Oryzias latipes: one gene and its partner. Each later gene encodes a partner of the first gene's protein in a complex. Links are inferred from orthologs where the notes say so. Each region holds a gene or a part of one and is shown on either strand. Other genes may lie near its edges.

The links.
Region 2: harmonin (region 1) and anks4b share a complex: the UniProt entries of both Homo sapiens proteins name them as parts of the IMAC/intermicrovillar adhesion complex. The link is inferred for Oryzias latipes from reciprocal best matches to the Homo sapiens genes USH1C and ANKS4B.

What each region holds. Positions count from the first base shown.
Region 1 is NC_019864.2:31,127,778-31,130,943, forward strand, and holds the end of harmonin, read left to right. Parts: intron 1-62; coding exon 63-116; intron 117-186; coding exon 187-286; intron 287-408; coding exon 409-518; intron 519-599; coding exon 600-655; intron 656-2,242; coding exon 2,243-2,255; 3' UTR 2,256-2,598; downstream 2,599-3,166. UniProt on the Homo sapiens protein: Anchoring/scaffolding protein that is a part of the functional network formed by USH1C, USH1G, CDH23 and MYO7A that mediates mechanotransduction in cochlear hair cells. Required for normal development and maintenance of cochlear hair cell bundles.
Region 2 is NC_019866.2:11,708,796-11,713,046, forward strand, and holds the start of anks4b (ankyrin repeat and SAM domain-containing protein 4B), read right to left. Parts: upstream 2,828-4,251; 5' UTR 2,712-2,827; coding exon 2,551-2,711; intron 1,312-2,550; coding exon 189-1,311; 3' UTR 1-188. Other genes in the region: peroxisomal membrane protein PMP34, read left to right, coding at 3,761-3,835, 3,953-4,013. UniProt on the Homo sapiens protein: As part of the intermicrovillar adhesion complex/IMAC plays a role in epithelial brush border differentiation, controlling microvilli organization and length. Plays a role in assembly of the complex.

The DNA of each region.
Region 1 (3,166 bases):
GTGTCCTCCTCCTCCTCCTCCTCCTCCTCCTCCTCCTCCTCCTCCTCCTCCTCCTCCAACAGTTCTCCTCGGAGCAGATCGCCGGCCGGGATGTGAGGCTGCTGAGGATCAAAAAGGCGAGTTCAGCTGCTCCTTCAGAACATCTTTAACGTCTCTTTCGGGTTCTGACGTGTTCTTGTCCTCCAGGCCGGACAGCTGGACCTGTCCCTGGAGGGGGGGGCTGACTCTCCTTTGGGAAAGTTGGTGGTGTCATCAGTTTATGAGGGCGGAGCGGCCGACAAACACGGTCAGTGCCTGACCAGAGCCATGCAAGAGAAGACAGGAAGTGACACGCACCGACTTCCCCTGATGGAATCAGCTGACTCTGTTATTGTGTGTGTGTGTGTGCGTGTGTGTGCATGTGCGCAGGGGGGATTGCTCCGGGGGATGAACTCATGGCTGTGAATGGGAAGATCCTGCTCGATGCCTCATTGACAGAGGGACAGAACTCTCTGGCGCGGGCCTGGGGGAACGGCGGGGTACCGGTCCAGTTCTAAAACAGCAGCTCGCATGTTTCTTCACTGCAGGATGGTTGACGTTTTTTTTCCCCCCACCTCCAGGACTGGATCGATGTGGTGATCGCAGTTTCTCCTCCGAAAGACTATGAGGATGAAGTGTAAGCATTGCAGTCAATATTGACAGTCTGCTGAAACGCCGGCTGCAGCGGTGCATCATGGGTCGTTGGTGTGTGCGTGTGTGCAGCTGTAAGTCAGCGTCAGTCAGTCCTACCGTGAACAGAAAGACGTTTGAAGGCAGCGCAGCTCTGTACAGACACGGCTACGTCCTTCAGCACTAGTGCTTCCTCTCTGGTAATCACCTTCATCCTCCTCTTCGTCCCACGGGGGGGGAGGGGCGGCGGCGTGTGGTGTGGCACTTGTTTTTGTTTGGGCCGCTCTATGAGGACATGTGACAGTCTCTGCCATCAAACTCTGATGGTTCTGGTCTTGTTTTATCACCAGAAACGCCCAAATTTAAACGGGGCCGCTAAATCCAGGCCTAGTCCAGACCGGTTCTGGTCCTGCCGGCCTCCTGCCGCCTTCAGCAGACCTGCTGATAGATGCTGTTCCTCTAGACTGTTACATCTTCTGCAGCCCCCCCCCTGTAAAGGCATGGACCAGGTTGGTTTTTCAAGCCTCCACCCAGGTTTCTCCAACTTTTATTTGGAAATCCACCATCGTATTCAAAAGAAATCCCTCCTCTTCCACTCTTTTATACGTCGCTGAAGGCTCAGCCGCGGCGTCAACTCAAGCAGTGCAGGAGTAGGTCAGGGGGCGGAGCTTAAAGCTCAAGAGCAAAAGGCAAACCCTGGAAGGCGACGGCCTTCGGGAAGAGATCCTGCAGAGGTTTCTTCACCTGATTCTGTTTGGCTGGACGTTCACATCAAAGCACCGGAAAGGCCGAATAAAATATGTATTTAATGTTTTTTAGATTTTGTAAATCAAACTGAAGGGGCGTGGATCATATTTAGTTCATTCAGACCTTTTGTTTTATCTTTGAAAGATAAAAAACCAAGATTTAAACCTCTGATTTCTGCCAACATGGGTTTGAATTAAAAAAAACAGGATGTTGACAGAAAATCTTAATTTTTTTCTGTAAAAATTGTATGAAAAAACATTTCAGCTTTGCCATAAATTCAGCTTCAAGATAGTTTTCTCAAATAATCATCTGTAAATACTGAAAACATTCTTTTATTTCAAGGATTCTATACATATGTATATAGCGGTTAGTTATGCTGTTAATACTCTCAGCTGTGCAGACTTCTCCAAATTGTCGGCTTTCCCGCCTAAAGATTCCAAGAATGAATGAAGAAATTTAGAAGAAAAGTCTGGAAAAAACAGCTTTGGAGTGTGAATTATTGTGAAGCAGGAAAGGTTCCCGGACATCTCAACAAATGTGTGACGAGCTGCAGAAAACGCTGTCAGACATCTCCTTCCAGGAGAAAGCCTCTTCTTGAAGCGTGTCAGCCTTCACTGACTGTAGAAACTGTAGAAAAGGATGCGCAGAAGCAGATGGAAGAGGTGAGGGCGATCCACGCGCTGACAGGAGTTTTCTCACTGGAATCTGGTTCTAAGAGGGATTTTGAAGGAGTTTGCTGATCAACCGGCATGCGTGTGTTCTGTTGTGCTTCGTTTGTGGTGTTTGGATTTATCTGATTAGGGTCATTTTTAGACGTGAAAACATTATTTCTGTCTTTCTCCTGCAGGACCTTCTTCTAGTCTCGTCAGACGCAGTTGGAGGAGACCCGATTGATCCGCCTGGAGCTTCTTTCATCTCTTCTCTTGAAACGTCTGCTCGCTTCCACTTTTTCTCTCTCGGATCGAGCGTCTTGTCCTGCAGATCGACTCCGTCCGTCGATATTCCTCGCCACCGTCTCGGTGAATGTCAGAGGTTAATCCAGTCAATACTTTGTGTTTCTCACATGTGGATCCTGACGGTGGTGGAGCTCAGAGATGCTGATCTTTGCAAAAGTCAGTCAGTTAAAGGTTAATGAAAATCTGTGATCAGTAGAGCCTCTTCTGAGTCTGTAAGTGTCTAATAAAGGTCTGATTGAACAAAGAAGAAGCTTCTGCTCAGTTTCTGTGACCCCCCCAGAGGGACGTGTGTGCAAACACGCTGAAGCAGGGACAAGTCTGTACATTTTTGAACAGTTCCGCGGCTTTGGCGGCGTGTGAAGCCCTGCAGCCTCAGAGCACCTGGAACAAACATGTTTGTTCAGGTCAGCACGTCCGCAGAGGAGCTGCTGCCAACGAGGGTGGCCTTTGTTTGGCTCCATCTCCAGGGAAACAAAAGTGTCCATCCAGACGGGAGACGGTTGGTTTTCAGGAGATGAGGAGGCTGATTCATCCCGGCTTCTATTACAGTCCTGATGAGGGAGCAGCGACATGCCAGCTTTCACATTCTTCTATTGATTGTTCTCAGCTCTGCAGCAAATGTCATCACAAATTCATTCACACTGTCTGAGTTTAATGTTCTTTAATAATTGGAAAAGGTTCATTTTAATGGTCAGCATTACAGTTCAGGTCATTTTTATTCATACTTGCCTTTTGACATTCTTTGGAACTCTGCTTTAGACTTTGGAGGTTTGTTTTGAAAGAGTTTTACCAACAAGGCAGTGTCACTAATTCCC
Region 2 (4,251 bases), on another chromosome or scaffold:
CAAAAAGCCTATCTTACTTTTGATTAGCACATTTCTACATTTACAGATTTGAAAGAAGAATGCATCTTTACATTATTACATACATTATTAACCCACATGACAATCAAGTGTCAAATGAAATATTTGATTCCATGTCAGTGAAACTTTCTAAGAGCGTATCAGATGTGACACAAACACACATGCACAGATCATAGGCAGCTGTCCTTCATGATGCCAGGACTCTCGATTGCTTTTCTCCTGCGAGCCACAGCATCTAAGATCTTCTTCCTGGGCCCCAACTGAATGCGAATGCTTTTCAGGTCATCATCAGAGCAAAGCAGAAGTGCTTCCAAGTCCAGATGCTCTCGACTAAATGCAAGTGTGAACTGTGGCAGGGAGAGGGCAGACAAGAACACTTCTAAAGGAGAGTTTTCCTTGTCTTCATCATCATCAAGTCCCAGATCGTCCTGATCCCAATTAAGGTCATCGTCATCAACCTCCCCATCACCGCCGGCATTTTCCTCCCCCTCAAAGAGCTGATTCTGAACAAGGTAGCCGAGACTTTCGTTGTTCCCGCTGGGAAGGTCTTCCGCATCCATGTTCATCTTCTTCATGAAGATCAGACCTCCAAGACCAGGTCGGTTGAAAATGGATTGCTGGACTTTTCCTGATTCTTCCTCGCCGTCCTCATCAAACTGGTTTGTCATTTCCTCTTCTAACATATCTTCGTCCTGCTCGTTGAAGACTCCGAGAAATTCTGGCTTATCAGGTGCTCCATTGTCCTGTTTGCCGTAGATAACGTTCGGATCTCCTGGCCTCTGCAAAGTGCCTTTGTCTTTCATACCAAGCCTCTTCTGCAGTGTACCTTTGACCCTGGCTGTAACGGAGCCAGTTTTTTCTGCAGCAATCAGCTTGGAGAATTGCTCATTAACTCCAATCTTGTTTCCATCCGTAGATTCAGCTGATCCCATGCTTTCATTATCAAAACTGCCTGATCCTCTGTTCATTTTGACCATCTTACTCTGATGCTTCTTCTTCACCTTTTCGCAGAGTTTTACTCGTCTCTCTGCTTCTTTCTGAGCCTCCTTCTTCAAGTTGGCAACCTTTCTCGAATTCTGATTGGTCTGCCTCGAAGCAGCGGCATCCAGAAATCGCACGATTTCCATGTGGCCATGAGACGCCGCCACATCCATGGCTGTGTGGAAGTCATTATCCAGAGCGAAGAGGTTGGCGCCAAAGTTGACCAGGAAGCTTACGATGTGCATGTGGTTGTTTGATGCAGCATGATGCAGCGGTGTGTTCCCCCAGATGTCACTTTTGTTGGGATCTCCTCTGTGTGACACAAAGGGAAAAGGAATTTTTAAATGTTTGAATGTTAATATTATTGATACTTTTAACAAAATGTCTTGCTTCACAAATGTTAATCGCAGTATAATTTAAATTATAAGTCTAAAGAAAAAAGTTGGATGCAGGCTGATGTCATTCTGATGCAAAATTTGTGTGGGTAAAAAAAAAGTTTAGAGCTAAGGGAAAAAAATTACAATCCAAACTGTTTTTTAGCATGTTTAGAGTCAACTTTCACTGCAAACACTCTCTTTTTCATTAAAGTTGTACATTTATAAAAAAGATTACTTCATTTTAAAGGTTCAGTTCACTGGGATTTTATGTTGACATATCTTGGTTAAGACCATGGCAACCAGCACATGATTGTGGGTTGTTAACCTATAAAATAACTGCTCACAAAATCCACTCACAGCCCAGAGGCTCTGAGGCCGAACATATGTTTTCTTATAAAATCCATTCACAGCCCAGTTACTAATCATCTGCTCCACATTTCTAACTTGATTGTTAATGATATTCTCAGGTTTTATGGCAAGAAAGCACAAAAAATGAGATTTCTTCAAATTGTATAAACAAGAGAACACAAAGGAATAAAGGTCAAGCTAAATGGTAAACTATTAAGATTGGAAATCCTCCTGTGATTGACCTTTTTGCCACAGCAATAAAAGTTTTGATTGCTGTATTCCAACCACGCCTTGTTATAAATTTTATCTCCTGCGGGTTACGACAAAAGCAGAAGTGTTTTCAGTTAATTTAGACATTAAAGACAAAGCAAGTTAAATGTATTAATTATGTTACAGACATTTTCTCTGATGCTCATGCTACATTTTAGCCAGATGGTGAGAGGCTTGAAGAGGGGGTGGTGAGGATAGATGAATGCCTCTTTTGTTTCACATCAAGGATGTGGCTGATTGAACATTTGGTTCAGCTCATGGGAGAGAATTGAGTTATTTGTTTTTTGTTCATAATGAGGCTGGGGGAAAAAAACAAAATTCATAACATGAGGAAATAAACCAGTCAAAATTTTTCTTTTTAACCTTTGGCCAAATATTTCTGTTTATTTCACCTGTGTATATATCTACTTGGTTCAGTTTTGAACAACAGAAGCCATCATATTTACAGTATTTTTTTCATGGTAAATTTTACTCCCTCCTCAAATATATAATTTTTACAGATAAACAATGTGAAAAATGTAAATTTTCAGAGTAAAGTGACAGACAAATTCCTTACTCTCTGCTGCATATGAGCTGAAGAGCTTCGACGTGTCCGTGAAAAGCAGCCAGGAGGGTGGGGGTCATACCATCTTCATCTGCAGTGTTCAGGTCTTTCCTCGTGGCCTCCTTCAGTAGGTCCAAATAACCATCAGCCGCTGCTTTGTGGTACCTAGACATCTTCACAAAGAACTGAAAAGAGAGATCTGTTTGTGTCTCTTCTTTCGTCCTCTCACCACAGTGCAAGATGAACAGCGGCCGCTGCAGATCCAAGCTACAAAGTGATCACTGGGCGTATAAGCAGCTCAGAGCCATAAAACAAAAGCAAAGTCCAGTTCTCTGCTGTCAGCTGCATCAACTCATCATTGCTGCTCTTTTTAGCTCACAATGTCACATAGGAATGTCTGGTGTGAACTAACAGCTATGACATTCTTTTTTTGAATACAGTCCCATAATATTAATTTGTAAATAATGATGATGATGATAATGTCTTATTCCAGAGATATATCTTAAAAGTCAATACAAATATGAAAATATACAAGAAATATCCAAAAGGGAGTGAGAAGAAGTAAATGCTTTATAAATTCTCACCCCTACGCCCGCCATTACTACTATTATTAACTTTAATGAGTACATATTCCGTATCATTTATGGATAAATATACACATAAAAACATAAACAGGTGGAAACATCTGAGACACATTTTTCACGTGTAAACACTCATTTCATTCCTTTTAAATCTTACACAATTCAAGTTTTACTGATAAATATTTCAAAGTTTATTTATGTTTTGTAAATGTAACGATAATAATTATACTTACTGAATTATAAATATGTTTACTGATTGTTGTAGACAAAATATATAATAGCTCAGAGTTGTTTCTATTTTTATTTTATACATTTTGCGCCTCAACACAATGCACAATTATTGAGTGGATTTTATCTTTCTGTCCGCTAGGTGGCAAAAGAGATTTGTCGTTGAATTTTTAGTATGGGCCGAAGAAGAACTTGTCAACAGAGCTTGACCAATCAAAAGCAATCATCCTCCCTGCTGTTTCTTCCGGGCCGCTCAGACTCTGAACTACACCATGAAGTTGTGGTTGTCAAACACTCTTTGGTTAATGTTTTCACCGCTTGACAGATCAGACTGACCTCCAGCTATCCTCCCCTAACTTACTGTGGTGAATTCCGTTTTTAATCGTGTTCTAACCGGAAACTCTCGCGCAGAGATGTCAAACAACGGCGGTTCGGCTGTCGGCCTTCTGTCCTACGAGACGTTGGTTCATGCGGTGGCAGGTGCGACGGTGAGAAGTCGAGACAGAAACGAAAGTCTAAAACCCGATTTATATGTACATGTACTTTCAGTCCAGATGATTCCCGTGTTTGGTGTGGGTTAGTTTTCACGCAGCCCTGTTTTACAGGGGAGTGTGACGGCCATGAGCGTGTTCTTTCCTCTGGACACGGCCAAAAGCAGATTGCAGGGTCAGTTATTGCTGGTTTTACTACATCTGATATTCTAGTTCATCATGAGGGTAGGCATTATTTAAGATGTAAATTTGTCCTTGTTTAAATCAACAGAAATGGTAAGACAATTATATTATAATCCCATTTGTCAGCTTATTTTTTTTAGTTTGGTATTTTATTATAATATATTATTGTTTTAGTATTAAACACTGGTATAAACATAACCTTTATTGCTTTTGTTTCCCATTTGAAAGCT